Linked DNA regions of Anolis sagrei. The protein of the gene in region 2 purifies or fractionates together with the protein of the main gene of each other region. This does not show direct contact. Links are inferred from orthologs where the notes say so. Each region holds a gene or a part of one and is shown on either strand. Other genes may lie near its edges.

The links.
Region 1: the proteins of EIF4A2 (region 2) and EIF4G3 purify together in Homo sapiens (affinity purification with mass spectrometry; 3 studies listed by BioGRID and IntAct, with this or other methods). This does not show direct contact. The link is inferred for Anolis sagrei from reciprocal best matches to the Homo sapiens genes EIF4A2 and EIF4G3.

The regions. Positions count from the first base shown.
Region 1 is NC_090033.1:7,269,763-7,286,110, forward strand, and holds the start of EIF4G3 (eukaryotic translation initiation factor 4 gamma 3), read left to right. Parts: upstream 1-9,458; 5' UTR 9,459-9,547; coding exon 9,548-9,777; intron 9,778-16,348. Other genes in the region: ECE1 (endothelin-converting enzyme 1), read left to right, coding at 937-1,004, 1,425-1,615, 1,843-1,938, 4,050-4,226. UniProt on the Homo sapiens protein: Component of the protein complex eIF4F, which is involved in the recognition of the mRNA cap, ATP-dependent unwinding of 5'-terminal secondary structure and recruitment of mRNA to the ribosome. Functional homolog of EIF4G1.
Region 2 is NC_090023.1:259,965,084-259,981,512, forward strand, and holds the start of EIF4A2 (eukaryotic initiation factor 4A-II), read right to left. Parts: upstream 8,320-16,429; 5' UTR 8,246-8,319; coding exon 8,217-8,245; intron 2,291-8,216; coding exon 2,248-2,290; intron 2,165-2,247; coding exon 2,032-2,164; intron 1,935-2,031; exon of another isoform or gene 1,863-1,934; intron 1,793-1,862; coding exon 1,653-1,792; intron 417-1,652; coding exon 248-416; intron 39-247; coding exon 1-38. UniProt on the Homo sapiens protein: ATP-dependent RNA helicase which is a subunit of the eIF4F complex involved in cap recognition and is required for mRNA binding to ribosome.

The DNA.
Region 1 (16,348 bases), on a different chromosome or scaffold from region 2:
CTTCCTTCCCATTTTTCCTGCTTCATCCTTCTTCCTTCCTTTTTCTTTCAGCCCTTCCCCTTTCTACTCCTCCTCCTTCCTCCTTCTTTCTTTTCTCCTCCTTTCTCTTCCTCTCTTCTTTTCACTTTTCTACTCCTTCTCATTTCTCCTTTCTCTTTTCTACTCCTCCATCCCTTCTCTTCCTCTCCTTCCTTCCCTTTTCTACTCCTTCTTCCTTCCTTTTTCCTCTTTTGTCCTCCTCCCTTTCCTTTTCTCTTCTTCCTTCTCCTTCGTTCTCATCTCCTTCTCCTCTCTAAGCTGCTTTTCTTTTTCTCCTTTCTCTTTTCTACACCTTCCTTACTCTTCCTCTCCTTCCATTTCTACTCCTCCTTTCTTCTCCTCCCATTTTATCTTTCTAATTCGCCTTTCTTCTTCTTTCTTCTCGTTCTTTCCCTTTTCTTCTCTTTTCCCTTCCTCTCCTTCCTTCCCTTTGCTACTCCTCTTCCTTCTTCCTCCTACTTTCTTTTCTCCTCCTCCTTTGTTTTCCTCTCTTCCTTTCCCTTTTCTCCTCCTTCTCCTTTCTCTTTTCTACTCTTCTTCCTTTCTCTTTCTTCTCCTTTCTCTTTTCTACTCCTCCTTCCTTTCCTTCTTTCTCCTTTATTCCCCTTCTTCCTCTTTCTTTTCCTCCTTCTCCTCCACTTCCTTCTTCATTTCTTCCCTGCCAATCAAGACAGAGAGGAGCTTATCCATAGCAAGTTGCTTTTGGCGTTGCCTCTCTCCGTTATGAGAATACCAGGATAATCAAACACAAAATCAAGCCAAAGGCCGAGAAATCAATTGTTTCCTGAGTATTTCGGGCCTTTTGGGTTTCCAGGGAATTGACGGGAACTCCCTCAACCTTATTCTCATAGGCTGCTTTGTTTTCCTTCCTCTCGTTCCTTCCTTTTTCTTTTGCAGGGCCCTCAACTTTGGCGGCATCGGCGTGGTAGTGGGCCACGAACTGACCCACGCCTTTGATGATCAAGGTGAGGAAGGAGATCGCCATCAGCAACATACTGATGATAATGCATCCTATTTGTTATCTGTCCTTCCTAAGCACTCGAGGAAGGGGACAACAAAGTCGAAACATACCAACACAAACAGAAAAATACATATATCATGACACACCATTATTTTAAAAATATTCACCAAACATAGAGTATGATGTTGATGATGATGATGAAATCGATCCCAAGGGCCCCCCAGTGCAACCTCATTCTGCCAGGCAGGAAGACACAATCCGATCCCTCCCGACAGATAGTCATCCAAGATATGCCTAATATCTATTTATTTATTTACTGCATTTGTATACCACCTTTCTCAGCCTCATGGCAACTCAAGGTGGTTTAATAGTGATGATGATGATGGGGCCTGCCTCCTTCCGATCCTATTTATTCCCTTTGCAGGCCGGGAGTACGACAAGGAGGGCAACCTGCGTCCTTGGTGGAAGAATTCCTCGGCGGAGGCCTTCAAGCACCAGACGGAGTGCATGGTGGCGCAGTACGGCAACTACTCTGTCAACGGGGAGGCCGTCAACGGGAAGCACACCCTCGGGGAGAACATCGCCGACAACGGAGGACTCAAAGCCGCCTACCGGGTGAGGCCGCTACCCAATGGGGCGCAACAACTACCACAATATCCTGTCCAGAAGGGTGCCAGTCAAGGAGAAAGCTCTCCCCTGCAGACCCCTGAGGCCTCGGCTCAAATGGGGGCTCGTCCAGGCTCAGGTGGATCACTTGAGGCGGGGGAGTCATGGGAATCTTGAGGGTCGGCTCCTACATCGTCCTCCTTTTTTTCTTTTTTTCTTTTTTTTTGCGTATTCAGGCTTATCAGAACTGGGTGCGGAAGAATGGGGAGGAGGAGACCCTCCCAGCCCTCAGCCTCACCAACTACCAGCTCTTCTTCGTTGGGTTCGCCCAGGTACTCTGCCAAACAGTAATCATAATAATAATGCACATTATCTACCCATATAATCTATCCCTCCATCTCTGTTTTATCTATCTATCCATCTGTGTCTGTCCAACCCTCCGTCAATGGCTGTTATCAATCTATTCAAAGTAATAGAATAGTAAGTAGTAAGTATTCTATTTACTCTATCTATCCATTCATCCATCTCTATCTATTCTATCCATCCAATCATCTATCTCAAGCCTGGGCAAACTTTGACCCTCCAGGTGTTTTGGACTTCAACTCCCACAATTCCTAACAGCCTACCGGCTGTTGTCAATATATTGTATTCTATTTATTCTATCTAGCCATTCATCCATCTCTGTGTAACATATATCCATTCATCTATCTATCTATCTATCTATCTATCTATCTATCCATCCATCCATCCATCTATTTATCTATCTATCTATCTATCTATCTATCTATCTCCTATATATATACATCCATATATATATATGTGTCTATTGGTACATCATCTACCTATCCATCTATGGCTATCTATCTATCCATTCTTCCACCCATTCATCTCTCCATCTGTATCATTCCTTCCATCTGTCTATGGCTATTATCCATCTATTCTATTTATTTTATCTATCCATCTGTTCTTTCCATCCACGGCTATCTATCATCTATTCATCCATCCATTTACCAATCTATATCTATATATCTGTTTGTCCATCCGTCCACTCGTCCACCATCTATCTATCTATCTATCTATCTATCTATCTATCTATCTATCTATCTATCCCCTCATTCCATCCATCTATCTAGACGAGAGCTAGCATGGCATAGTGATTTGAGCATTATACTCTCAAGCAACCAGAGAGTGCATTTATCCGGCACCTCTTAAGCCCTTGTGTAAAGGAGGCACCCAATTAGTAACGATGCCACCAATTGGTAAAAGTTTGTAAAGGAGCCACTACTTTGTAAGGACTTACTAAATTGATAACATAACTAATAGCTTGTAACGTTGATTTGGTCTTTCTTGAATGTGTAGCGTGGCTTAACTTGAAAGTATTTGTAACAGAGACTTGGCTTTAGAAGAAACTGTAACAAGTTTATTGTAGTATAGAAGAAGCTTGATGGTTTCAATGTTTCTTAGCTCTTAGAGGCACATTTCTTCAGAGGTTACATTTAATACATTTCATAAAACAACTCTTAAGAGAACTATTCCTTTCACTAAACAGGTTTTAAACTTATTCTCCTTCAAAATGTGTTTCTTTCTTTAATTGATTACTTCAGGTACAAGCCTTTCCTTTCCCCATGCCATTTCTGTTGCAGTACAGATTCCCACCAGGCTTCTCTCCCCCTTTTGCTCACACACTGACCAACAATATAAACAAGTCAACTCGACCCATCCAAACCACACAGGCTAAAAGCCAAAATTTTCCTGATTCTCAACACAGCAGAATCAGCCTTTCCCTGCAGATCTCAGACTACAGACTACCCCACTGGCTCTCAACATACAACAGAACCAGCGCTCCCTGTAGTTCGCTGACTACAGACTGCCCGTTTTAAAATGGCTGCCCTGCCAAGTGGCAGTTGGCTCCGCCCCTTTTTCCATGGCAACCCAGCTCAAAGTGAGTTGAGCTGGCTACCATCCCTCTCCCCCCCCCCCCCCAGTTATGCTAGTTTAGATACTTACCCTTTTAAACAACTATCTATAATCAAACATAACTGTAGATTAAAACTCACACTCCACCACACCATGGGTTCACTCGGAGTGGGCTGCTTACCAGTGAGTAGGTTGCTGCCTCCTTCCTCACTCTCTGGTGTGACATACTCTCCCCTTCCTAAGCGCTCGAGGCAGGGGACGACATAGTCAAAACATACCAACATGAACAGGAAAATACATATATCACAACACACCATTATTTAAAAAAGCATACACCAAACATAGAGTATGATGTCAATGATGATGATGATGAAAGGGACCCCAAGGGCCCCCTAGTCCAACCCCATTCTGCCAGGCAGGAAGACACAATCCAATCCCTCCCGACAGATAGTCAAGCTGTGCTTAATAATGATGATGATGATGATGGGGGCTGCCTCCTTCCATTCTTTCTCTCCTTCTCTCTCAGGTCTGGTGCTCAGTCCGCACGCCGGAGAGTGCGCACGAGGGCCTGGTGACCGACTCGCACAGTCCTTCCCGCTTCCGCGTGGTGGGGACGCTCTCCAACTCAAGGGAGTTTTCGGAGCATTTCCACTGCCGCCCGGGGTCCCCCATGAACCCCGCCAGGAAGTGTGAAGTCTGGTGAAGGAGCTCCCCTTCCGGGAGGAAAGAAGGGCCACACCGGGCCGTTTCGGGCCTTCCTCTCTCTGTCGCTCGCTCTCTCTCTCTCTCGGGAAGCCTTTGCCCACAGGGAAGACTCCAAACTCGAGACTTATTGGTGGCCTTGCCTATATCCTCTCGGCGGTCCGGCGTATCCCATCATGCTGGAGGACGCTTGGATCGCCATCCGTTCCCAAAAGGCTGGTATTTTTATGCAGGGAATATAGACTCTTCTTGCCTTGAATGGGAAATCCACCAAGAAGAGAGGAGGAGGAAACCCCTTTACGCTCACACCCTTCACCGAGGCCTGCGTCATAGACACAAACACCAACGTATAGAAATAGTATTATTATTATTATTATTTTGAATCTTGCAGAACACTGGAAATTTCAGGGAACGTGTATAAAGTTGAATGGATCGGTATTTATTTCTACTTTTCGAGCGCGAGAGCATCCTGCTTGAAGCCAAAGGACGGCTGCCTGGAGCGGAAGACCCAACTCCCTTCCATCCTAAAAGCGTGGGAATCCGTTACTTTGTGGACTACGACTCCCAGGGAATTGGGATTTGGGGGAGCCGCTCTGCAGGGATATCGCTTCCAAAAGGGACCTTCGTTCTTTTTCTCCATGTCCTTCGGAATTCCCAAGTGCCTCCGGCGTCTTCTCCGGCCGACGCTTCTCCTGTCCACTTCCGCACGGTCCGGGAAAGAGGCGGAAGGCAAGCGGTTATGAGGCGGAGAAAGAAGGGTCGCCTGGGCCCCAAACCCACTCACCAGCGGTCTCTCAGTTGCTGTTGATTGTAAGAAAAACGCCCTGTGTGATCTGCACAGAGAAACGACTTCAAACCTATCTGTAACTGAGTTATGTCCCTATATGCTGAGTACATGAAGGTTGTTGAGTAAACCCTTCTGAAGAACTTCAAAAACAAAAACAAAAAAACACCAGCGGACTCTCAGGTTCAAAAAACTGATCGTTTCCATCCGAGGCTCCCACTCTTCCCACTCTTCCTCCCGCAGAATCGTGGCAATTCTTCATTTCGTCCTCCTCTTCCGGCCCCTTCTGTGACCCCAAACTGGGGCTGGACTTCCATTTGTGTCAATGTCTGGAGTGAAAGACCTTTTCTCCCCGTTTTTGAGCTTCGTTTTTCGACCTGGAGTTGGAAGCAGGAGGGCAAGGCAGTAATGTGTGTGTTTGTGTATACACATATACACATACACATCACACTGATAAATAGAAATCACTTATAAGTGTTGCCAAGGCAGTTCAAGGGGAATCATAATGCCATAACTATGCAGGCTGAAATGCCCCTCATGGACAAGTATGTGTGTGTATATTATATGTGTGTGTAAATATACATATACATAGTACATATAATCTCACTTAGAAATCACTTATAATGCAGTTCAAGTGGAGTCATAATGCCATACATTTGCAGTCTGAAATGGCCCTAAGTGCACACATGTATGTTTATATGTGTGTGTGTGTGTGTGTGTGTGTGTGTGTGTATATATATATAATCTTACTTATAAATAGAAATCACTTATAAGGCAGTTCGGGTGGAGTCATGTCATAAATGTGCAGTTTAAAATGGCCCTAAATGCATGTGTGTGTGTATACACACACACACTCATAAATAGAAATTACTTGTAAGGCAGTTCAGGTGGAGTCATGTCATAAATGTGCAGTTTGAAATGGCCCTCTAAATGCACGAGTGTGTGTGTGTGTGTATATATATACACACACAATATATGTGTGTGTGTATATATATATATACACACACACACACTCATAAATAGAAATTACTTGTAAGGCAGTTCAGGTGGAGTCATGTCATAAATGTGCAGTTTGAAATGGCCTCCTAAATGCATGTGTGTGTGTGTGTGTGTGTATATATACACACACACACGATCTATACACACACACACACACACAAACACTCATAAATAGAAATGTGCAGTTTGAAGTGGCCCTAAATGCACGTGTGCACGTGTGTGTATACACACACACACTTACTTACATACACACACTCATAAATAGAAATCACTTATAAAATACTTCAAGTGGGGTCATAATGCTATAAATATGCAGTCTGAAATGATCCTGTGTGTGTGTGTGTGTGTGTATATATATATATATATATATATAATACATTAATATGTGATACCTTCACTTCACTTAGGCAATCCCTTGTTGTCCAAGTAGGATAGTCCTCCAGGGTGGGTCAGTAGATGACTTGACCTTCATCTTCTCCCGCAGTGAGGGCATCGGTTTCCAGGTGGGAGGCAGTCCCGGACGGGGTTGGCTTGACGCGCCTTCCTCTTGGTACGTTTCTCTCTTTCGCCCTCCATTTGTGCCTCTTCAAATTCTGCAGCACTGCTGGTCACAGCTGACCTCCAACTGGAGCGCTCACAAGCCAGGGTTTCCCAGTTCTCAGTGTCTATGTCAGTTTTTAAGGTTGGCTTTGAGCCCATCTTTCAATCTCTTTTCCTGTCCTCCAACATGTTGTTTTCTGTTCTTGAGTTCGGAGTAGAGCAACTGCTTTGTGATACCTATTTGTAAGTGATTGATATATGTGTATGTGCACTTAGTGTTGACTCCAGGCTTGGGAACCCTATGACCACAGCACCACTCAAGAGTCCATAATATAAGGACTGGAGGTAAAAACAAAAAGGGAAATGTTGTGATCTCCATAGGAGAAGGAGGCGATTGGCTGGATTGGATTTCGTAGGATTTGGAGGCCTCTTTGGCCACGCGGCACCTCAATGTCTTTCCCGTACGTTTCATCCAAGAGTGCCTTGCCAAAGTGGGCTGGAAAGATGCATCCAAACACCCCAATAAGGGATGGAAATGACAAGAGAAGAGTGACGGGTTGCCGGTTTGACTTCCCTTCCTGTGCCTTAATGCCAGAATGGCCCATCACAGCCTTAATTCTCCACTTCCCCAATGTGAAATCAAGAAAAGGAGCTCATAACTCTGCGGAAACTATGAATCCCATCAGGGTTTGGATTGTTGGGGAAATCCCATCAGGGATTTGTAGTATTCCATGTTCAAATTATGTAATATATCCATGCAAGGAGGAAAAGGAAGGGAAAGAAAAGCTTTATTTTTATCTCTCTTTGTTCTTTATCTCTGTTTTGGATGACTGTAATTCCTGGCAAATGCAATAAAACAAAGCTTTTATACGACCATGTTTGTATTTCTTTGTTTACGCTCACATTTCCGCTTCCCAAAACAGACCAATGGAGCTGCCTTGCCGTTGAATGGATCCAGATCCCGGGTTTCATCCCAAATTTCTCCCTCTCTAGTTGACACATGGGACTTGGAGTACTCTTTCTCATTGTAGAATCACATTGTAGAATCCTCAGTGGGTTGAGAGCCAAAATCAAGGTCCCTACAACATCTGTTATAGAACTCTAGTATGCTGATGATAATGCAGTCTGTGCTCATTCAGACCTACAACGAAAGTTAGAGAACTCCAGTAGGCTGATGATAAGGTAGACTGCTCATTCAGAAGAGGATCTACAATGTCTTATAAAATTCCAGTATGCTGATGATAATGCAGTCTGTGCTCATTCAGAAGATCTACAATGTGTTATAGAACTCCAGTGTGTTGATCATAACGTAGTCTGTGCTCATTTAGAAGACGACCTACAATGTCTTATAGAAATTCAGTATGCTGATGATAATGCAGTCTGCTCATTCAGAAGTTCTTCAATGCCTGATATAGAACTGCAGTATGCTGATGATAATGTAGACTGTGCTCATTCAGAAGAGGACCTACAATGTCATATAAAACTCCAGTATGCTGATGATAATGCAGTCTGTGCTCATTCAGAAGGTCTTCAATGTCTGTTATAGAACTCCAATATGCTAATGATAACGTAGTCTGTGCTCATTCAGAAGATCTACAAGCCACTTTCAAAACCTTTGCAGAAGCATATGCAGGCCTCTTGGTGGCCTGTAGGCCTCGGTTTTAGCGTGCAGGCCTCCCCTACAAGTGGGCCCTGCTGTGTTGCCATGGCAACGAGAACCACTGCAAAACAGGCTTCCCAGCGTGTGGTAGGCCTCAGTCTTTCCAAAGCTGAGAATATGGTATCTATCTATCTATCTATCTATCTATCTATCTATCTATCTATCTATCTATCTATCTATCTATCTATCTATCTATCTATCTATCTATCTATCTGAGTGTATCCCCACCGGTGTTTTGGACTTCAACTCCCACAATTCCTCGCGTCCCTTCCTTTTCCCCCTCAGTCGCTTAAGCAAGAAGGCCTAGAGTGCGCCTGCGCGAAAGCTGAAAAGAGGCGGGGTGAAGGAAGACGGGCGGTCCAAAGTGCGCCTGCGCAAAAGCTGGAAAGAGGCGGAGTTGGAAGGGATGCGGGAGTTCTATAGTGCGCCTGCGCGAAAGCTGGAAGGAGGCAGGGTGAAAGGAAGGCGGGAGTCCCAGAGTGCGCCTGCGCGAAAGCTGGAAAGAGGCGGACTTGGAAGGAAGGCGGGGGTTCTACAGTGCGCCTGCGCGAAAGCTGAAAGGAGGCGGGGTGAAAGGCAGGCAGGAGTCCCAGAGTGCGCCTGCGCGAAACCTGGAAAGAGGCGGAGTTAGAAGGAATGCGGGAGTTCTACAGAGCGCTTGCGCGAAAGCTGGATGGAGGCGGGGTTGAGGGAATGTGAGGGTCCTAGAGTGCGCCTGCGCAAAAGCTGGAAAGAGGCGGAGTTGGAAGGAAGGCGGGGGTTCTACATTGCGCCTGCGCGGAAGCTGGAAGGAGGCGGGGTTGAAGGAAAGCTGGAAAGAGGCGGGGTGAAGGAAGCCGGCAAGGCGAGGATGCGCCTGCGCGAAAGCTGAAAGGAGGCGGAGCTAGTGAGCGAGCGAGGTCGGCCTTTTCCGGAGATTGCCGAAGAGCCGAGCGGCGTCGCTTGCCCTCGTCGTCATCTTCGTCCTGCCGGACTGCTGCTGGAGGCGGCCGCCGGCGCCATGTTGGAGGCCGCGCTCGGTCCGTGAGGAGAATCCGTCGGCATCGCCCGCCCGAGCGCCGCCACCGTCGGCGGGGCCTTCTCTCCGGGCTGCAGGCCGCTCTCTCTCGCCGGGACCGGCGGCCCTCCCTCATGAATAGCGGGCGAGGCGGCGGCCCGAGCGGCGGCTTCGGCGCGGCCTGAGGAGAAGGAAGGGAGGGAGGCGGGAGGGAGGGGGCGGGGAGGGAGGGAGGGAGGGAGGGGGAGGAGCGCAGGGCGCGTTGCCACGGAGACCGGCCGGGGGTGGTGGCCCGCTGGGCTGTCCCCGCCGCCGCCGGCCTGGGCCTGGCTCCGCCTCGCCATGAGCCTCCCGCACAAGACGGCCCTCAAGCCCGGAGCGGGACCGGGGGCGGCGGGGGCGGCGGGAGGAGGGGCACCGGGAGCAGGGGCGGGGGGCGGCGCCGGGGGAGCGCTCCCGCCGCCTCCGCCACCTCCCCCGCCGCCCCTCTCCCCGCTCCCGGCCGCCCCCCCGCCGCCCCCCTCCGCCGCCGCCGCGCCCCCGCCCCCCATCCGCGCCCTGCAGGGGGGACCGTATCCTTCCCGCCTCTGGATCCAGGGGACAGGGAGGGGGGTCCGGCTGGAGGGCCACTGGGGGCCCTGCCAACTCTGGGGTTCCATTATTGTTGTTGTCATTATTATTATCAAGCAGGGCTGGATGGCCACCTGTCAGGAGGGCTTGCCTGGTGTCTTCCTGCCTGGCAGGAGTAGGATTGAACTGGGTGGCCATTGAGGTCCCTGCCAACTCTGGGGTTCCATTATTATTATTGTTGTTATTATTATCAAGCAGGACTGTATGGCCACCTGTCAGGAGGGCTTGCCTGGTGTCTTCCTGCCTCAACTGGGTGGCCTTTGGGGTCCCTTCCAACTCTGGAGTTCCATTATTGTTGTTATTACCAAGCAGAGCTGGGTGGCCACCTGTCAGGAGGGCTTGCCTGGTGTCTTCCTGCCTGGCAGGAGTAGGATTGAACTGGGTGGCCATTGGGGTCCCTGCCAACTCTGGGGTTCCATTATTATTGTTGTTATTATTATCAAGCAGGGCTGGATGGCCACCTGTCAGGAGGGCTTGCCTGGTGTCTTCCTGCCTGAACTGGGTGGCCATTGGGGTCCCTTCCAACTCTAGGGTTCCATTATTATATTGTTGTTATTATTATTATTGTTATGAAGCAGAACTGGGGGGCCACCTTTCAGGAGGGCTTGCATGGTGTCTCCCTTTCTGGCAAAACTGGGATTGAATTGGGTGGCCATTAGAGTCCCTTCCAATTCTAGGGTTCTATAATTGTTATTGTTATTAGTATTATCAAGCAGAGCTGGGTGGCCACCTGTCAGGAGGGCTTGCCTGGTGTCTTCCTGCCTGAACTGGGTGGCCATTGGCGTCCCTGCCAACTCTAGGGTTCCATTATTGTTGTTATTATCAAGTAGAGCTGGGTGGCCACCTGTCAGGAGGGCTTGCCTGGTGTCTTCCTGCCTGGGAGGATTGGGATTGAACTGGGTGGCCATTGGGGTCCCTTCCAACTCTGGGATTCCATTATTATTATTATTATTATTATTATTATTATTTTCAAGCAGAGCTGGGGGGGGGGGGGTCACATGTCGGCAGGGCTTGCCTGGTGTCTTCCTGTCTGGCAAGACTGGGATTGAACTGGGCAGCCATTGGGGTCCCTTCCGACTTCTATAATAGTTATTGTTATTATCATGCAGGGCTGTATGGCTTCCCTGGTGTCTTCCTGCCTGGCAAGATTGGGATTAAACTGAATGGTCGTTGGAGTCCCTTCCAACTTCTATAATTGTTATTGTTATTATCATGCAGGGCTGTATGGCCACCTGTCAGGAGGGCTTGCCTGGTGTCTTTCTGCCTGGCAGGATTGGGATTGAACTTCCAACTCTAGGGTTCCATTATTATCATTAGTAGTAGTATTATTATAGTTATTATTATTGTTATTATGGCTACCTGTCAGGAAGGCTTGCCTGGTGTCTTCCTGTCTGGCAAGATTGGGTTTGAACTTGATGGCCATTGGGGTCCCTTCCAACTCTAGGTTCCAGCTTTTTTATTATTATTATTATTATTATTATTATTGTTATTTTCAAGCAGAGCTGGGGGGTCACGTGTCGGGAGGGCTTGCATGGTGTCTTCTTGTCTGGCAAGTTGGGATTGAACTGGATAGCCATTGGGGTCCCTTCCAACTTCTATAATAGTTATTGTTATTATCATGCAAGGCTGTATGGCCACCTGTCAGGAGGGCTTGCCTGGTGTCTTCCTGTCTGGCAGGATTGGGATTGAACTTCCAACTCTAGGGTTCCATTATTATTATTAGTATTATTAGTATTATCAAGCAGAGCTGTGTGGCCACCTGTTGGGAGGGCTTGCCTGGTGTCTTCCTGCCTGGCAGGATTGGGATTGAACTGGGTGGCCATTGGGGTCCCTTCCAACTTCTATAATTGTTATTGTTATTATCATACAGGGCTGTATGGCCACCTGTCAGGAGGGATTCCCTGGTATCTTCCTGCCTGGCAGGATTTGGATTGAACTGGGTGGCCACTGGGGTCCCTTTCAACTCTGGGGTTCCATTATTATTATTATTATTATTATTATTATTATTATTATTATTATTATCAGGCAGAGCTGGGTGGCCACCTGTCGGGAGGCCTTGCATGGAGTCTTCCTGTCTGGCAAGATTGGGATTGAACTGGATGGCCAATTGGGGTCCCTTCCAACTCTAGGCTTCTATAATTGTTATTGTTATTGGTATTATCAAGCAGAGCTGGGGGGCCACGTGTTAGGAGGGCTTGCCTGGTTTCTTCCTGCCTGGCAAGATCGGGATTGAACTGGGTGGCCATTGGGGTCTTTTCCAACTTATATAATAGTTATTTTTATTGTTATTATCATGCAGGGCTGTATGGCTTCCCTGGTGTCTTCCTGCCTGGCAAGATTGGGATTGAACTGGGTGGCCATTGGGGTCCCTTCCAACTTCTATAATAGTTATTTTTATTGTTATTATGTCAGGAGGGCTTGCCTGGTGTCTTCTTGCCTGGCAGGAGTGAGGGGGTTGGACTGAGTCCCAACTCTAGGGTGATATTATTATTATTATTATTATTATTATTATTATTATTATTATCCAGTGCTAGGGTTCTGTTGTTATCAAGCAGAGCTGGATGGCCACCTGTCAGGAGGGCTTGGATGTGTGTTCCTCCCTGGCAGAAATGGTGGAGTTCGACTGGATGGCCATTGCAGTCCCCTCCAGCTCAGGGGTTCCATTATTATTATTGTTATTGTTATCAAGCAGAGCTGGGTGGCCACCTGTTGGGAGGGCTTGCATGCTGTCGTCTTGCCTGGCAGGAGTGAGTGGGGTTGGATTGAGCCCCTTCCAACTCTAGGGTGCTATTATTATTATTATTATTATTATTATTATTAATACTATCAAGCAGGCCTGGATGGACACCTGTTGAGAGGGCTTAGATGGTGTCTTCCTGCCTGGTAGAATTAGGGTTGGTCTTTATGGCCATTGGGGTCCCTTCCAGTGCTAGGGTTCTGTTGTTGTTATCAAGCAGAGCTGGATGGCCACCTGTTGGGAGGGCTTGAATGTGTGTTCCTCCCTGGCAGAATTAGGTTTGGACTGGAAGGCCATTGGAGTCCCTTCCAACTCTGGGGATCTATTATTATTATTATTATTATCATCATCATCATCATCATCATCAAGAAGAGCTGGATGACCACCTGTCGGGAAGGCCTGGATGGTGTCTTCCTCCCTGGCAGAATTAGGGTTGGACTGAATGACCATTGAGGTCCCTTCCAACTCTAGACTTCTATTATTATTATTATCATTATCATCATCATCATCATCATTAAGTAGAGCTGGATGGACACCTTTGATATGTATTCCTGCCTCACGGAATTGGGGTTGGACTGGATGATCCTGGAGTCCCTTCCAACCCTTCCATCATCAAACAGAGCTGGATGTCCACCCATCAGGAGGGCTTTGATGTGTCTTCCTGCCTGGCTGGATTGGGCGCGAACTGGATGGTTGTTGGGATCCCGTCCAACTCTATTATTGTTGTTATTGCTTGAGGTGGGTTCAGAGTCGCAAGGGTGTCTCTGTTTACTGTTTGGGTTTAATTTCCCTATGTCCTGCCTTTGACTGCCTCCTCCCTGTTTTCCGAATGAAGTTTTGCAGACTTATAGTTTCTCTTTCACTTTGTTTATGGATTTCTGTGGCCACCTCCTGCTGTGCTTGTGTTTGTTGCCTGCCTGTGTTGGATGTGGGATGTTCAATGACGTTCTGGTTTGTTTGGGTTGGCAACCATCTTTATTATTTGGGTCACGTTGTGTTGGAAATGTTGTATTTCCTTGCGATGAACTCCATTGACCCCCTTGAATCTACAAAACTAAGTTATCATTGGCATATTAGAGTTCTGTAACAGACGTAGGTCTTCTTCTGAATGAGCACAGACTACGTTATCATTGGCATACTGGAGTTTTATAGCAGGTCTTTTTCTGAATGAGCACAGACTACATTATCATCAGCATATTGAAGTTCTATAACAGGTCTTCTGAATCAGCACAGACTATGTTATCATTTGCATATTGGAATTCTGTAATAGGTCTTCTGAATGAGCACTGACTATATTAGCATCAGCATATTGGACTTCTATGATAGGTCTTCTGAATGAGCACAGACTATGTTAGCATTGGCATATTGGAGTTCTATATCAGGTCTTTTTCTGAATGAGCACAGAGTATGTTTTCATCGGCATGTTGGAGTTCTATATCAGGTCTTTTTCTGAATGAGCACAGACTACATTTTCATCAGCGTATTGGAGTTCTATAACAAGTCTTCTGAATGAGCACAGGCCATGTTATCATCAGCATATTGGAGTTCTATATGACGGCTTTTTCTGAATGAGCACAGACTACGTTATCATCGGCATATTGGAGTTCTATAGCAGGTCTTCTTCTGAATGAGCACAGACTACATTTTCATCGGCATATTGGGGGCACCTTGGGGAAAGCCATTCTTCCCGGTCCCAGGAGAGAATAATCTCCTTCCTTCTTAAGGGAAGTCCTTGCTTTGGCCTGCTTTTCCTTCCTCCAAGCAGTTCCTTTTTCTGGCTTTGGCCCTTCTTTTGGCATTGGGGGTGAGGGCTAGGGCTTGCCCCCTTTCTTTGTGGGCGGGGTGCTTTTCCCACCCTTCTTTTCAGCAGACTTTGAAGCCGCCCTTGACATGCTTTCTTTTGCTTTTCTGAAGAAGCGGACAGGAAATGGCCAAATAAAGGGCCTGCGCACAGTTTGCAGAACAAGAAAAAGGGACTCTTTGGAAGGGACTCTTTCCTGGGAAGGAAGTTGGCTTTCTGAATGCCGTGCGCAGCACAGGCCAGGCAGGGCTGGCAGGGCATTAATGGGTGCCATTTATCAATGGAGAATAGTCCTGCGTCTCCCGCCTGCAGGTCCATTGGCCCTACGTCTCTCTCTTCCCAGGGCTCAGCCCTGCATTTTATTTTATTTATTTATTTATCGTGTCAGGGGCAACCAGACAATTGTATTACATTTTTAACAGAACAAAACAAACAGACAGACAAAACACAAAGTTTGCAAGCTTGGTAGTTGATTAAATGTCCTTTGACCAGTATCAGGCCAGTTGGAGTGCCTCTGGTGTTGCCACAAGGAGGTCCTCCATGGTGCATGTGGCAGGGTTCAGGTTGCATTGCAGCAGGTGGTCAGTGGTTTGCTCTTCTCCGCACTCGCATGTTGTGGATTCCATTTTGTAGCCCCATTTCTTGAGGTTGGCTCTGCATCTTGTGGTGTCAGAGCGCAGTCCGTTTAGCGCCTTCCAAGTTGCCCAGTTTTCTGTGTGCCCAGGGGGGAGTCTCTCATTTGGTATCAGCCATTGGTTGAGGTTCTGGGTTTGAGTCTGCCACTTTTGGACTCTCGCTTGCTGGGGTGTTCCAGCGAGTGTCTCTGTAGATCTTAGAAAACTATGTCTTGATTTAAGTCGTTGACGTGCTGGCAGATACCCAAACAAGGGATGAACTGGAGATGTCACTGCCTTGGTCCTTTCACTATTGGCTGCTACTTCCTGGCGGATGTCAGGTCGTGCAATACCAGCTAAACAGTGTAATTTCTCCAGTGGTGTAGGGCGCAGACACTCCGTGATAATGCGGCATGTCTCATTAAGAGCCACATCCACTGTTTTAGCATGGTGAGATGTGTTCCACACTCAGCAGCAGAGTAGCATAGCGCAAGGACAGATGTCTTCACTGTGTCTGGTTGTGATCCTCAGGTTGTGCCAGTCAGCTTTTTTATGATATTATTTCTAGCGCTCACTTTTTACTTGATATTCAGGCAGTGCTTCTTGTAGGTCAGAGCACGGTCCAGAGTGACTCCCAGGTATTTGGGTGCGCTGCAATGCTCCAGTGGGATTCCTTCCCAGGTAATCCTCAGAGCTCGGGATGCTTGTCTGTTCTTGAGGTGAAAGGCACATGTCTGTGTTTTAGGTGGATTAGGGATCAGCTGGTTTCCCCTGTAATAGGCAGTAAGAGCACCTAGAGCTTCAGAGAGCTTCTGTTCAACCATTTCAAAGCTCCCTGCTTGAGCGGTGATGGCACGATCGTCAGCATAGATGAAACACTCTGTCCCTTCTGGCAGTGGCTGGTCATTTGTGTAAATGTTGAACATGGATGGAGCAAGCACGCTCCCCTGAGGTAGGCTGTTTTTCTGTTTCCGCATCTGCTTCTCTGGCCCTGGAACCCAACAAAAAAGCTCCTGTTTTGTAGCAGGTTTCCTATGAGGCGGGTGAGGTGGTAATCCTTTGTGGTATTATACATTTTTCTCAGGAGGAGGCGGTGGTTTACAGTATCATAAGCTGCTGGCAGGTCTATGAAGACAGCTTCTGTGAAGACCGCCCTGCATTGAGTTGAATATTCCAGGTATTTGTTTACTTATTGTGTCAGAAGCGAGTTGAAGGTAAAGTTAACATGTCTTTAAAAACACAAAGGTTGAAAACTTGGCATGATGCTAAATGTCCTTTGACCAGAGGCTGGCCACTTGGCGTGCCTCTGGTGTGGCTGTGAGAAGGTCCTCCCTGGTGCATGTGGCAGGGCTCAGGCTGCA
Region 2 (16,429 bases):
TGCCTCATCCAGGACAAACATTTTGATCCATTTAGGCGCTACAAGAAAGGGAAATGTATTTTGTAGGCCAAGAACTCTTCTCAGAAAGTCTTAATTTCTTGAGCAACAGCTAAACGACGAGTTAATTGATCTTGCAGACGTTTATATGCAATACTATTCTTGAGGTGCTACTTATTCTAATACTGATTGATACTGTTCAAACTTGTTCCCAAGGATTATGGTAAATAGTTAGAACTTGGTTACTTACACAGGTAGCGCCTATTCAACATGTCAAATACACGTCCTGGAGTCCCCACCACGATGTGTGGTGCCTCTGCCTGCAGCTTCTGCATCTCATTGCGAACATTTGTGCCACCAATGCAAGCATGGCAAGTTGCGCCCATATAATCACCAAGAGCCAGAATAACCTTTTGGATCTGAAACAATGGATTGAATTAAAATTGTATCAATGGAACTCTCAAAGGAATTTGGTCAAAAACAGGTTTCTAGTGACAAGTACACTCAACTCTAATGACTTATGTTCAGGCTGCTAAGTAGTTCCCAACTACAAATGCAATCTGAGTAGTAAACCTATCACATCTGATGTGCAAAGTGCCCTCAGATTCAGATATTTTCCCATTCCAGGCAGATATCCTGGTTCTTTCCCCACACAATACATAATGACTTTTCACAGAAATGCACAAAAGCATTCCCAGCAAAGCAGTAGCAATGCTCCGACTGCTACAAAAGAAAAAATAATGGCTATTGACTATTAAACATGCAAAGCGGTGAAATGTTTTTAGAAGTTGCTTGGGCAGAATATGCCTTTAAAAGTAAAAAAAAAATCATACCTATACTGGCCCTATCCTTGTTGCATAACAAAACAGCCTGCAGTGTAGAATAAGAACTGGAAATGACCAGCGAGATATGTTTATTTCCTCAGAGGAGGTACTGCAATGCTGAGTTTGAAACACATGGATCATTTGGACACATTTCTATGCTGAAAGCTTATTTTCAGTGTGCTACTTTATGAGGAAAGAACTATACAAACTTCATTCTAAAAATCAACTTGGGTCATCCTCATTTAATTACTTGCCTCCTAAGAAAATGTATTACATTTTAGTACCAATTGAGAATTCCAAATATGAACTCCCCCGAGGACTGTTAAGGTGACTTCTGCTTCTATCACAATATTCAACGCTGTATTCACAAAAATGCATATTTTAATGAAAATGTGCTGAATGCAAAAATGCTGCTCAATACAGAAGAGACTGAAGCACACATAAGATTATATACACAAACAGCACAGACAAGTCAACTGATCACATGCAGTTTCATGTTGCACAACTGCATGCATTTTGAAGACCTGAACAGTATATGTTTTCTCAATTTAAATCGTTTTAGTCTCATTATATATTCTGGATATTCCTACTATCAAGTCCTGCAAAGCTGCACTGTCTTTTGAAGCCAGAATCACTGGCCCGTTCATCACCACAGCTAACACTTCTCCATGTATGTAATAGAGGAATGTAGTGTGGCAGAGGTGTGTTCACCATATTTGCACCCCAGAGCTAAGCCATTAACTGATCTGCCAAAAATGTGAGTTCTCCTACGGTTGTGAAACCTGAAACCCATGCAACATGTAAGCAGCTGTTTAACTACACTATCAATACCTGTTGTGCCAGTTCTCTGGTAGGAGCCAACACTAGTGCTTGGGTCTCCTTGAGATCAATCTCCAACTGTTGCAGGATGGAAATAGCAAATGTGGCTGTCTTGCCAGTACCTGACTGAGCTTGAGCAATCACATCATACCCTAAAAAAAGGATAGATATTTACTGCTCCCATACAACATTAGGACACAGTTTAAGTTCCAATTCCTTTACAAGTGATCAGCAGTTACACAGTTTTCTCCATTTCAGGTCAGTCCCGAAAGATGGTATACCATCATCTCACTTTTCAAGGAAAGATGGGCTTTACTTCCACCCCAATGCAAAGAACTCAAACCAGTAAGAATGGTGCTAATACTCATTATTTGCTGCAATATTTGCCTACCTTTGATACATGGAATAATAGCACGCTGCTGGATAGCTGACGGCTTCTCAAAACCATAAGCATAAATTCCCCTGAGAAGGGACTCTTTTAAATTCATATCATCAAAATTGTCAACGATTTCATTCCAATTGCTCTGCAAGGAGGAAATGAAATACATTTTATTTCACTCATCAACATCTTCCATACAGATAAATGAAAGAAGGGTCATTTACTAACCTCAATGACGCCATCGGGGTCCATTCCCTCAGGGCCATGGTCTCTGTCAAAAGAAATAAAATCTTGTCAGCCAGGCAGAGTTCTCAACCTCTTGCAATAGTGACTTATTCTAATTGCAATACCAAACTAAACACTCCAAACTACTGCCCTATACAATTAAATACATTTAAAAATCCAGAAATAATGTACTTCTATATTTCTAAAAAATAGCAAATCCCAATCTGATTGCTCTTCTATTGCCTTCACTATTCCCAGTGAGCTCAGGGTTACTAGGCACGTTTGACAACATGGAGACTTGACTCTTAAAATTATCCTGCAATTTAAAAAAACATCTTTTCCAGATGAAACTCGGTCTCTTAACGGCCACACAAAGAATCAACTGCCTTCTAGTTGGTCTAATAAAGGCTCCTGAAATTTTCATACAACCTAATGGAAATTTGCTGCAACTTCAAGCACAATGATTACAATGTGGTCTTTGGAAAGCTATCACTTAGCATTCCATGAATGATATGGGTAACTCAATATTATATCTTTCATATACTAAGTAACAATGTATCCTATTGCATTTGATAAAACCCTACCAAACCATCAACTTATATGATGCTGTTAAATGTTTTTAGCAGTAGGAATACTTTAGCACAAACTAGAACTTTAATGCAGTGTGATCTTGACATAAATAACAAGAAGAGCTATTCAAAAGTGGAACTCTCTGCCTTACAGTATGGTGGAAGCTTCTTCTTTGGAGACTTTTAAACAGAGATTGTGGGCCTGCTTTTGGCTGAGATAGGATTGTTGTTGTTGTGGTGGTGTGCTTTCAAGTCATATCAGACTTAGGCTGACCCTGAGCGAGGGCCGTATCCGGCCCCCGGGCCGTAGTTTGAGGACCCTTGATCTAATCAATACAATTGTATATCTTCACTCACTCATGTGAATCTACTACTCTTATGTGATGTGCACAACTACATACAGCAAGGGCTGCTAATAATTGTTTCATACTGCAGCCTACCTCAACTGTAGCTTCCATTAAGAATAACTTCTTATGTGGGTAACCAAAAGAAAAGAATATAGATCATGCCAAAGGTCTAAGGTCAACAGGAGACTCAAAGGTACATGCACAATAGTCACACGTGGACAAACTGGCAAAATCAGGCCCTTGCCCGACAACACTTGTTCAACATGTACTGTCTTAATGAAGAAACATCCTGCCTTCATACAGAGGTCATAATAATGGAAGTGTCTAGCAGCCTCAGGAGAAGGTTAGGCCAAGGAGGGAAGTGATGACCCAAGGTCACCACAGTAAAGACTGGAACCTGATTTCTCACATCCCAAAACAACACTGGCTCTCCTGCAGAAAATGGTCAGTCTTTCCTTTGCACTCAAATGTTTTGTTTTGGACTTCATCTCCCAGAATTCATGACTGGGCCAGGGCTTCTGGAAAACAGGCAGCCGAGAGCGGACATGACAGCCATTGTTTATATATTTGAAAAGATGACACATTGAGAAGGGCAGGCTTGTTTTCCTCACAGCGGAGACTAGGGCCCCTTCCACACAGCTGAATAAAATCCCACATTTTCTGCTCTGAACTGGGATATATGGCGGTGTTGTGGTCTCAGCGTTTAAAACCTCCAGAGCAGGGGACTCCAGCACACAGCTGTTACCTTCAGGAAATTCTCCACAATGCTTAAGTGGAATCTCTTTTCTTGTAATTTGAATCCTTTGCTCTGTGGCTTTGGGTCCTTCCACACAGCCATATAACCCAGAATATTAAGGCAGATAATCCACAATATATGCTTTGAACTGGTTTATGAGTTCACACTGTCCTATAAACCAGTACAAAGCTGATAATGTTGTATTTTGTACAGCTGTGTGGAAGAGGCCTCAGTTCAACACAAATATTCTGGGTTCTATGGTTGTGTGGAAGGGCCCTAAACCACAGAGCAATGGATTCAAATTGCAAGGAAAGAGATTCCACTTAAGCATTACAGAGAATTTCTTGAAGGTAAGAGCTGTTGGCATGAGGTGTTGTCACCTGCGCTGGAGGTTTTAAACAACACCTGGATGGACATCAGCCAATAGTGCTTGGATTTTGAATTTCTGCATGGCAAGAGACTGGAATGGAAGGCCCACATCATCTCTTCTAACCCTTATCACACTATGATTCTGTAGCTTCAGTCTGGACTTTGAATTAGATGTCTGAGGCACTGAATTTAATAGAATTTCACAGCCCTGCTGCTATCCATTCAAGGGCACTAGACCAGGGGTCCTCAAACTAAGGCCAGGGGGCCAGATACAGCCCTAGAAGGTCATAGACCCGGCCCTCGCTCAGGGTCAACCTAAGTCTGAAATGACTTGAAAGCACACAACAATCCTATCTCATCAGCCAAGAGCAGGCCCACACTCCTCACTGAAATACTAATAAGTTTATATTTGTTAAAATTGTTCTTAATTTTAATTTTTGTAGTTTCTAAGTGTTTTTTGCACTACAAATAAGATATGTCCAGTGTACATAGGAATTCATGTGTTGTTTTCTTTTTCAAATTATAATCCGGCCCTCCAACAGTTTGAGGGACTGTGACCTCAGTTTTAAAAGTTTGAGGATGCCTGCACTAGACAATGGTTCCCCTTTTCATCAGCCCAGACAACTTTGTGAAGAACATACGTCTTGCAAATGCTTGCATTACGGGGAGCAGCTTGTGATCTTATTTATTTATAGTGCTGCTTTTCTGTCTTAAGAAAAGACTTGGGAGCAGCAAACAGTACTAAAATCAACCTAAAGACTATAGTAGAATTCAACCAAGCACTATTTAGAACAGGTGGGGGCCAACTTTGGCCTTCTGGTGATAGTATGACAGCTGGGGGGGGGGGGCTCCGAGCATTAAGCACATTCCGCAATGGCGGTTGTGAATACGGGAAGGGGGGAGTGGCACACTGAGGGCGGGAACATAATTCATAGTTGCATTTGGTGGAAGGATAGAAAGGAGGGGAGGGTTAGGGTAAGGTTTAGGGTAGGGTAGGGTAGGGTAAGATAAGATTTTGGGTTACAGTTAAGGATTAGGGCTTTACCATTAAAGAACTCTTTCTTCTATAATATGTGTCCAGTTCTGCGTTGTACAAACAGCACTTCCGAAGGAGAAAAGCAAAAACAGTGTAACGCCCAGAGCTTCCGGACCCAGCTTTCATACTATTACTGGCTTTCTCTCCAGGTGTTTTGGACTTTAACTCCCACAATTCGAATCATAGAGTTGGAAGAGACCTCATGGGCCATCCAGTCCAACCCCCTGCCAAGAAGCAGGAATATTCCATTCGAAGCACCCCTTTGTGGGAATTGGAATCCAAAACACCTGAAGGGAAGGCCAAAGTTGGCCCACACCCGATTTAGAACAAATGTGTTGTATATATCCTTAGGTTCCATGAGAGGGAAAAGGCAGATTATAAATTAAGAACTCCACAATGATCTGCCTGCCAAAGAAAACAACCCCCTGTATTTTCATTTAGCCCAGGAGGAACCTTTTGCAAAGGTAGGTAAGGCTTCTGGGAGATGAAGGAACAAAGCCCTGGGGTCTTGTTCTAGCAGCACTGCAAAAATGGATTTAAACCTGGAAGTCATTATTTTTAGTTTTAAATTGCCTTTTATATGATCTGTCAATTTTTAATTTTTGTATGTATGTATTTTATCTTTTACAATTTAGCTGTAAATCGCCTAGAGCATTCTCAGATGGAGGGCGATTAATAAGTAATTAAATATGATTATGATGAGGAGGAGACTGCCCACAGGACAGCCCATTTGCACACGTCATTGATACAATTCAATGTGGGTGATTCTGAAGTTGCCACCAATAAGGAAGGCCTGCCTCTACCAGCCTCACTAATAAGGATAATTGTAGTAAAGGGCTACATATGTGCAAAAATCCCATGGCCACAGGGGATCCATTAGAATCATAGAATCAAAGAATTAGAAGAGACCTCATGGGCCGTCCAGTCCAACCCCCTGCCAACCCCTGACAGATGGCCATCCAGCCTCTGTTTAAAAGCTTCCAAAGAAGGAGCCTCCACCACACTCCAGGGTGTAACTACCTTACTTTCATTCCCAGTATACCATAGACTTGCATTAGAAGACCTAGCAATTTCTAATAAAGTATCCTTTAGAAACGTAATAGTTTTTTCAACACAACTCCATGGTAGCTTTCAGGGGAGGTACACTGTAAAATCGCCTGAAGAACCTAGCACATCCTTAGAGAGAACACTCCCCTTGAGAAGTTACTTTTTAAGACTATATTTCCCACTGAGGTATTTTTATAACCCCCAAAACTAAGTTTCCCAACTTTTGATTCTTTGCATATGACCCTGTGATCTAGGAGCCCCCACTGGCACAGTGGGTTAAACCACTGAGCTGCTGAACTTGCTGACTGAAAGGTCAGTGGTTCGAATCCAGGAAGCAGGGTGAGCTCCTGCTATTAACTCAGCTTCTGCCAACCTAGCAGTTCAAAAATATGGAAATGTGCATAGATCAATAGGTACTGCTTCGGTGGGAAGGTAATGTCACTCAATGCTGTCATGTCAGGCTGATTAATAAGTAATTAAAGATGATGATGGTAACTGTTTATACTGGCATTGAATTTTTTGCTCTCTACGTGGGGTTGCCTTTGAAGACGGCTCGGAAGCTCCAACTAGTCCAACGTGCGGCAGCCATGATACTAACAGGAGCGGAGCGCAGGGAGGATACAACTCCTTTTGCTGCACCAGCTCCACTGGCTGCCGATTTGCTACCGGGCTCAATTCAAAGTGCTGGTGTTGGCCTTTAAAGCCCTAAACGGTTCTGGCCCAAGCTACCTATCCGAACGTATCTCTGCTTATGAACCCACCAGGACTCTAAGATCTTCTGGGGAGGCCCTGCTCTCGATCCCGCCTGCATCACAGGCACAGCTGGCGGGGACGAGGGACAGGGCCTTTTCTGTGGTGGCCCCTCAGCTGTGGAACGCCCACGGACATTAGATCAGCCCCTTCGTTAATGGTGTTTCGAAGAAAACTAAAAACCTGGCTGTTCGAACAGGCGTCCGGTTAAACAATGCAATGTACACGATGAATATAGGAAACGGAATTATGGAAGACGAATTGGATCACGATTCTAGTTACGAGACGTTAACGTGTTGTTATTGATGTGTCATTTTGTATATCATGCTGTTAATGGTTTTTAAATTTTGTATGCTGTTGGATTGACTATTGCTCTTGTCATAAACCGTGTTGAGTCGCCTACAAGGCTGAGAAATTGCGGTATACAAGCAAAGTAAATAAAATAAATAAATAACTTATGTGTAAACCGCTTTGAGTCCCCCCTCGGGGTGAGAAAAGCAGTATACAAATACTGTAAATAAATAAGAAACGTGTGGCAAATAAATAAATAAAATGGAAGAGGTGGGGGAGAGGAAATCAAGAGGACTGAAAGGACGCATGCGCGCTGCGTCAGCGTGCCTGGCTCGTGCGTTCTCGGCCTTCTTTTCCTCCCCCCTCCCTTTTCCACCGAATTCTCGCGAGAGCTCCACCCCCTCCCTCCCTTGGTTGCGCAAGTCTCGGAGCCCCTCCCTGTTTCCTCTCCCTGCGCCAAAGTGGTCTCTTCCGATTAGGGCCTCCCCATATATGCATACACACAAGGGCGAAACCATGCGCCTTGGAAAAGGAGGGGAATCGGGGACGTTGCAAACCTTCAAAGACACAGGTTCGGCTTCCCTGCCGTTCCCCCCTACTTAAAAAGTGGTATCTTCCAATTTGGGCCTCCCGAGACACACACTCGCACTGCCCGCCTGGAAGAAACCATTTGGCCTGGGAAAGGAGGGGGGGTCGGAGCCCTGTTTTTCAAACAGCTCCTCTTTAATATATATATATATTATAAATATATGTATTATAAAGTATATATGAATATAAACAATGGCCTTCAACGCTTCCTTCCTCCCCTTTCCCGCCTCCTGCGATACCTGCTATAGTCCGCGGAGCCGCCTGACATGTTCTGCTTCCCGCCGCTGTCCTCAACTGAAAAGGCAGAGCCTCCGCGCCAGCCGCCTTTTATACCCGTTCCGTTGGCCGGAACTACTTCCCGCTCCCCCCTCCCTCCTTCGCCTTTCGCCGCGGAGGAGTATGGAAATTTACCATTCGGAGAGGGAGGGCGGGGGAGGCACGGAGCGCCCCAGAGGCGTGTCCCACCCACCCCTCGGCTTGGAAAGAGACCCCTCCCCGTGACAGAAACGTCACAGAGCCTTATCCAAATCAGGGGAAGGAGCCAGGCTTGAGGGACTACTTTATGCTTGCCATACGCGGAGGGATATTGCAGCAGTTGGTCTGTTGACTGACTCCGTTCTCTCCCCAGTCTCGTGAATGGGGTTTCCTCGCCCGCCCCTGCCTCGGCGGAGGAAGGCGATTGGTCCGGACGGGGAGTGGGCGGGGCGTAAGGAGAATCAGAACAGGGAGGGGGTGTTTTGGGAGGGAGCGAGGGAAAATGGCGCCTGTTGTTGCCTGAAGGGAGGTGGAAGGGGTGGGAGGAAAAATAAGCGATTAGAAAGAATGGAGGCGGTTAAAAAGGGAAAAAAATCAAGAAAGGGGCTTCTAAAAACAAGATGGGGAAGCTAGAAGGGATTTGGGTTTCCAGAATTTATAAAATGAGGGGGAAAAGTGAGGAGGAAAAATGATCAAGGGTCTGGAGAACAAGCCTTATGAGGAGCGGCTTAAGGAGCTGGGCATGTTTAGCCTGAAGAAGAGAAGGCTGAGAGGAGATATGATAGCCATGTATAAACATGAGCCAGGAATGTGATGTGGCAGCAAAAAAAGCCAATGGGATTTTGGCCTGCATCAATAGGAGCCTAGTGTCTAGATCTAGGGAAGTCATGCTCCCCATGCTCTATTCCGCTTTGGTTAGACCACACCTGGAATATTGTGTCCAATTCTGGACACCACAATTCAAGAGAGATATTGACAAGCTGGAATGTGTCCAGAGGAGGGCGACTAAAATGATCAAGGGTCTCTAGAACAAGCCCTATGAGGAGCGGCTTAAGGAGCTGTGCATGTTTAGCCTGAAGAAGAGAAGGCTGAGAGGAGATGATAGCCATGTATAAACATGAGCCAACAATGTGATGTGGCGGCAAAAAAGGCCAATGGGATTTTGGCCTGCATCAATACGAGCATAGTGTCTAGATCTAGGGAAGTCATGCTACCCCTCTATTCCTCCTTGGTTAGACCACGTCTGGAATATTGTGTCCAATTCTGGGCACCACAATTCAAGAGAGATATTGACAATCTGGAATGTGTCCAGAGGAAGGCGACTAAAACGATCAAGGGTCTCTAGAACAAGCCCTATGAGGAGCGGCTTAAGGAGCTGTGCATGTTTAGCCTGAAGAAGAGAAGGCTGAGAGGAGATATGATAGCCATGTATAAATATGTGAGAGGAAGCCCCAGGGAGGAGGGAGCAAGCGTGTTTTCTGCTTCCCTGGAGACTAGGACACAATGGAGCAATGGCTTCAAACTACAAGAAAGGAGGTTCCATCTGAACATGGGGAAGAACTTCTTGACGTTTTTGATGATGATGTTTTTGGTTATTGCTAGATGGATATTTTAGATTGTGTCTTGAATTTTGGATTTTGTTTTTTCTATGTTGTACACCGCTGTGAGTCGCCCTTGGGCTGAGAACAGCAGTATATAAGCAAAGTAAATAAATAAATAAATAAATAGACTGTGAGAGCTGTTCAGCAGTGGAACTCTCTGCCCCGGAGTGTGGTGGAGGCTCCTTTGGAAGCTTTTAAACAGAGGCTGAATGGTCATCTGTCAGGGGTGATTTGAATGCAATATTCCTGCTTCTTGACAGAATGGGGTTGGACTGGATGGGCCATGAGGTCTCTTCCAACTCTTTGATTCTATGATTCTTTGAAATACCAAAGGTCATCCAGTCCAACCCCATTCTGCCAAATGAAAATGTTGAAAAAATTGTCATCCAGCGTAAACTTGACCAGGAAGACATTATTTCTGGATTTGTTGCAGGCAACATATTCCTGCCCTGCACCACATGTCCCAGGCTGAGAGGAGATATGATAGCCATGTATAAATATGTGAGAGGAAGCCACAGGGAGGAGGGAGCAAGCTTGTTTTCTGCTTCCCTAGAGACTAGGACAAGAAACAATGGCTTCAAACTACAAGAAAGGAGATTCCATCTGAACATGAGGGAGAACTTCCTGAATCATAGAATCATAAAATCAAAGAGTTGGAAGAGACCTCATGGGCCATCCAGTCCAACCCCATTCTGCCAAGAAGCAGGAATATTGCATTCAAATCACCCCTGACAGATGGCCATCCAGCCTCTGTTTAAAAGCTTCCAAAGAAGGAGCCTCCACCACACTCCGGGGCAGAGAATTCCAGTGGTGAACGGCTCTCACAGTCAGGAAGTTCTTCCTCGTGTTCAGATGGCATCTCCTCTCTTGTAGTTTGAAGCCATTGTGAGAGCTGTTCAGCAGTGGAACTCTCTTCCCTGGAATGTGGTGGAAGCTCCTTCTTCAGAAGCTTTTAAACAGAGGCTGGATGTCCATCTGTCAGGGATGCTTTGAATGCAATATTCCTGCTTCTTGACGGGGTTGGACTGGATGGCCCATGAGGTCTCTTCCAACTCTAGGATTCTATGATTCTATGAGAGAACAAGCAATGAGAGAAGAGTAGCTTTTCAATCTTCCTCTTTCTGACCTATTTTCCCAATGGAGGGGTTAGTATTGTGGCTGTTGTTTCCACGGGACAATGTTTTGGGCATTCTCAGGCTGGCAGCACACATGTCTTCGTTGATAGTATTCATCCATCTTCTCTTTGGCCTTTGTCCACATAGCCACGGTCCTGCAATCTCCAAATGCAGTGCTGTAGTACACCTATTTATTTACCCAGCCACCTATTGTATCTATCCATCTTCTTTCTAAGTTATTTTCCCATGGAGAGGTTAGCATTGTGACGCATTTGTTTCCACAGGGCTTTGTTTTGGGCTTCTTCAGGTCTCAGCTTGGCAGCATGCACATCTTCATTGATGGTGTCCATCTTTCCTTTGGCCACATGGTTGCCATCTTGCAATTTCCAAATGCAGTGCTGTGTTGTTGTTGTTCATTCGTTCAGTTGCTTCCAACTCTTCATGACCTCATGGATTAGCCCATGCCAGAGCTCCCTGTCGGCCGTCACCACCCCAGCTCCTTCAAGGTCAAGCCAGTCACTTCAAGGATGCCATCCATCCATTTTGCCCTTGGTCGGCCCCTCTTCCTTTTTACTTCCATTTCCCCCAGCATAATTGTCTTCTCTAAGCTTTCCTGTCTTCTCATTATGTGGCCAAAGTACTTCATCTTTGCCTCTAATATCCATTCCTCCAATGAGCAGTCGGGCTTTATTTCCTGAAGTATGGACTGGTTGGATCTTCTCGCGGTCCAAGGCACTCTCAGAACTTTCATCCAACACCACAATTCAAAAGCATCTATCTTCCTTCGCTCAGCCTTCCCTAAGGTCCAGCTCTCATATCCGCAGGTGACTGTGGGGAATACCATTGCTTTGACTATGCGGATCTTCGTTGCCAGCGTGATGTCTCTTCACTATTTTATTGAGATTTGTCATTGCTCTCCTCCCAAGAAGTAAACGTCTTTTGATTTCCTGGCTGCAGTCTGCATCTGCAGTAAGCTTTGCACCTAGAAATACAAAGTCTGTCACTGCCTCCACGTTTTGTCCCTCTTTTTGCCAGTTATCAATAATTCTTGTTGCCATAATCTTGGTTTTTTAATGTTTAACTGCAACCCGGCTTTTGCACTTTCTTCTTTCACCTTGATTAGAAGGCTCCTCAGCTCCTCCTCGCTTTTGGCCATCAAAGTGGTATCATCTTCATATCTAAGGTTGTTAATGTTTCTTCCAGAAATTTTTACCACAGCCTTGCATTCATCAAGCCCAACACATTGCATGATGTGTTCTGCATACAAGTTGAATAGGTTGGGTGAGAGTATACAACCCTCCTGTACGCCTTTCCCAATCATGAACCAGTTTGTTGTTCCATGGTCAGTTCTTACTGTTGCTACTTGGTCGTTATACAGAGTCCTCAGGGGAGACACAAGGTGATTTGGTATGCCCATACCACTAAGAACTTGCCACAATTTATTATGATGCTGTAGTATGTATTTATCCATCCATCTATCTTCTTTCTAAGCTATTTTCCCATGGAGGGGTTAGCATTGTGACTGTTATTTGTTTCCACGGGACTTTGTTTTTAGCATCCTCTGGCCTTTGGAGATTGCTGTCCTGCAGTCTCCAAATGCAGTGCTGTAGTATCCATCTGTCTATCCAGCCACCCATCCATCCTTTGTTTTGGGCCTTCTCAGTTTGGTGTCCATCCATCTTTCTTTTGGCCTTTGTCCATGTGGTCGCTGTCCTGCAATCTCCAAATGCAGTATCCTATCAATTCATCTTCTTTCTAAGCAATTTTCCCATGGTGCTGTTAGCATTGTTACTGCTGTTTCCACAGGGCTTTGTTTTGGGCATCCTGAAGTCTCAGGTTGGCGGCATGCATGTCTTCATTGATGGTGTCCATCCATCTTTTCTTTGGCCTTTGTCCACGTCTGCGTTCTGCAATCTCCAAATGCAGTGCTGCTTGTGCTGCTGATGATTCTCTTCTTATGACATGGCCGTACCATCGTAGCCTTGCTTCCTGCATTTTGTTGCTGATCGTTTGTATTCCTAGTCTTTAGCCGTGTCCATGCAGAGTATGAATAGTAATGGCAAGAGTGCTGATCCCTGATGCATACTAACAGTGACGTTGAAGGGTGGTGAAATCCCTGCAAGGCTGTGGACCATACTTGTTGTATTATTGTATAGTAGTTTTATCCATATTACATAGTCTTCAGGTATTCCATTTGACTGTAGTGCTCACCAGATCAGGTCATTAAGAACCCAATCAAATGCCTTTTTTGAGATGAAGGAATACAAAGTTCCTTGGTTTCCTTTCCTGATGTTTTTCCATGAGTAACTGGACAGCATATATTGCATCCATTGTGCCACACCCCTAGACAGAGCCACACTGATTTGGTTAACTGCTGTGTGACTTACTAGCTTTTTGTCCAGTATTTTTTCAAATACTTTCATTGCATGACACAATAGGCGTATTGGGCGGTATGTTGAGCAATTACATATGTCTCCTTTGCCCTTCCAAATTGGTTTGGTTATATTAGTAGTCCAGTCCTTGGGGGCAGAGGCGGCACTAGGTAATTTTCAACGGTAAGCAAAAAGTATTTTGCCCCCCCCTCCCCCGCCCCAACCAATCACTGATATATATTTTCTGTTCGTCGTGGGAGTTCTGTGTGCCATATTTGGTTCAATTCCATTATCGGTGGAGTTCAGAATGCTCTTTGATTGTAGGTGAACTAGACATCCCAATAACTACAATTCCCATATGTCAAGGTCTATTTTCCCCCAAGAGCGCCTCAAGAGCGCCCCTGGGCAAAATCAACTATACTGCAAATGCTTACTTTGCATTGGGTTGAGCCGCCCCTGCTTGGGGGTGATTTTTCTGTTATGATTTTGTTAAATAGCGATGCTAGAAAGGTAGCACCACAGTCTTTGAAAATTTTCTAAATTTTAGTTCTCTTGTCTGCAATATGGAAAATTTGGAACTTTAGAAGAGAGTTTTTTATTGGGAATTTTTTGTTTATCTTTTTTAAAAATTGTTTTTTTTAAATGCTCTATGAAGGACTTTATGTGCTTTAAATGTTGTTAATTGCCAACCTTTAGGAGCCACCTTGGCCAAAGGATGCCTGTAAATGAAATAAGGTTATGTAGGAATCAAATCATTTATTTCATGTAATAAATGAGAAAAACATATAGAAATACTTAATCCCTACATTAATCATTTTAAAATCATTTCAACAAGTTAAAAAAAAAAGATCAATAAAACACCCTCAATAAAAGGTTTGGGTCAGAAAGGAATAAAATAATTAATTTGAAAAGAATTGAAAGGTAGTGTGTTTGGATTATGGCTCTGCAAATTGCTGCCATACAACTAATCACCTTGGGCAAGTCACATTCTCTCATCCTCAGAAAGGCAATGGCAAACCTCTTCCGAACAAATCTTACCAAGAAGATCCCGTGAGAGAGTTGCCATAAGTGGGGAAGAATTTCAAGGCAGGCAAATAATTGGAAATGAGAAAAGGGAAAGAAGAAATCTGAGGAAGTAGGAGAGTCTGCATTGAATTGCATTAAGTGGCACTAGACCAGGCATGGGCCAGTTTGGGCCCTCCGGGTGTTTTGTGGGTGTTGCAGTCCAAAACACCTGGAGGGCCCAAGTTGGCCCATGTCTGCACTAAACTCATATAATCAGATTCAATGCAATTAAAATTAATCTATGGCAGTGTAGATAGATAGGGTCTGATGGAAATAGGACTGAATAAGGAAACAGAAAAAAAGACTGCTAGAAATAGCTGGTGTTTATTTAGTGCCAACTGTGCTCCAAGACCCTTCCCCACCCAGCAACTCTCATATGATATGTAGTGCAATTCCCGTCACCCTCAACCAGCTGGAAGTTAGATTTCAGCACATTTAGAGAATGTGTAGTAGAAATTGGGTTGTTGTAGGTTTTTTCGGGCTATATGGCCATGGTCCAGAGGCATTCTCTCCTGACGTTTCGCCTGCATCTATGGCAAGCATACTCAGAGGTAGTGAGGTCTGTTGGAACTAGGAAAAAGGGTTTATATATCTGTGGAATGACCAGGGTGAAACAAAGGACTCTTGTCTGCTGGAGCTAGGTGTGAATGTTTCAACTAGTAGAAATCTAGTAGAAATCTTTCCTCTTGTATAAACTGTTCCTTCAGAAAATTGCTCTCTTGCCCTTTTAGTTCTCTGTTCACAGTATAAAATTATTATCTTCAGTTTCATGAGATTTGTGTTAGGACAAAGAATTTAAATCCATAGCTAATGTATATGGCAAATGTTTTAAGTTATTAACAGACAGATAAAGATACTGAATTGTATGAATGCTAAAAACTGGTAGAAAAAAAAAGCCATGGAGGAAAGAGCAAGAAGGGATTGGGTGGTGATGGAAAGAGGAGAATTTAGGTCCCTTCTACACTGCCATATAAAATCCAGATTATCTGCTTTGATTATATCTGCATTATATGGCAGTGTAGAAGGGGACATATAATGTAAGGGGAGAATGGGCATCTTGAAGAAAAGTGGAAGAAGGAAAAAGAAGGCTTGAAAAAGAGAGGAAAGAATTAAGAGCATTCAGAAAAATGAAGGTGACAATTGGAATGAGGCAGATTAATCATTCAGCAAACTCGGGGAAGTGATGGAGATGTAAGGTTATAGTCACTTTGCTCATACCAATTTATTAATTAAATATAGCAGTGCTTAGGAAGACAAAGACTGAAAATGGAAGATCTGTTGGTTACAGACAAACTATGGGAGGAGCCATAGATCAGTATCAGAGCACATATTTTGCATGCTGGGTTTCTCCAGGTCATAGCCCATCAGATGATAATTCTGAGCTAATGGACTTGTGGTTCTGTTGTAAAGTGGTTTCCTATGTCCCTATCAAATGTGTCAGCTATGTATGCTTATTCCTGCAGCTGTTTCAGGACACTGTGTTGCTGTTTCCTTGCTATCACATATAATTAAGACAACAATAATAACATCCAGCATTTGTATAGTATTTTTGAATGCTCAGATGTTCCTGTTCCCTTAGTACAGATATTTTTAGTGATTGGCAACCTACATAGCTCCACAACAGATGTGACATTTGAACTGGCAGCTTTCTGATTCTGTTAGCTGGTTTACTACAATGGCAGAACCTTTGCAAACTGTTTTTGTGGTTGCACCAAAGCTGAATATTCAATCAGTCACAGAATTTGTCAGTATCAACTAGCTTTAGAATCATTGTCTCTCACCTCAGTCTGCTCTCAAAGGGTTAGTGAAAGAGTAGATGGGAGGGAGCCACATATTTTACCTGGACTCTTTAGTGGTTTTTATTCTGTGTTTTCTTTTCTTCCATCTTTGCAATGAGGAATAAATGATTTTAACATAATTGGTACAAGAGTCTAAATACCCTAAAAGGACAAGGTAATATTTTACCTGTTAAGCACCTCTGAGTAGTTTTTTTTGTTTTGTTTTGTTTTGTTTAAGAAAACATTGTGAAATTCTTGGGGTTGTT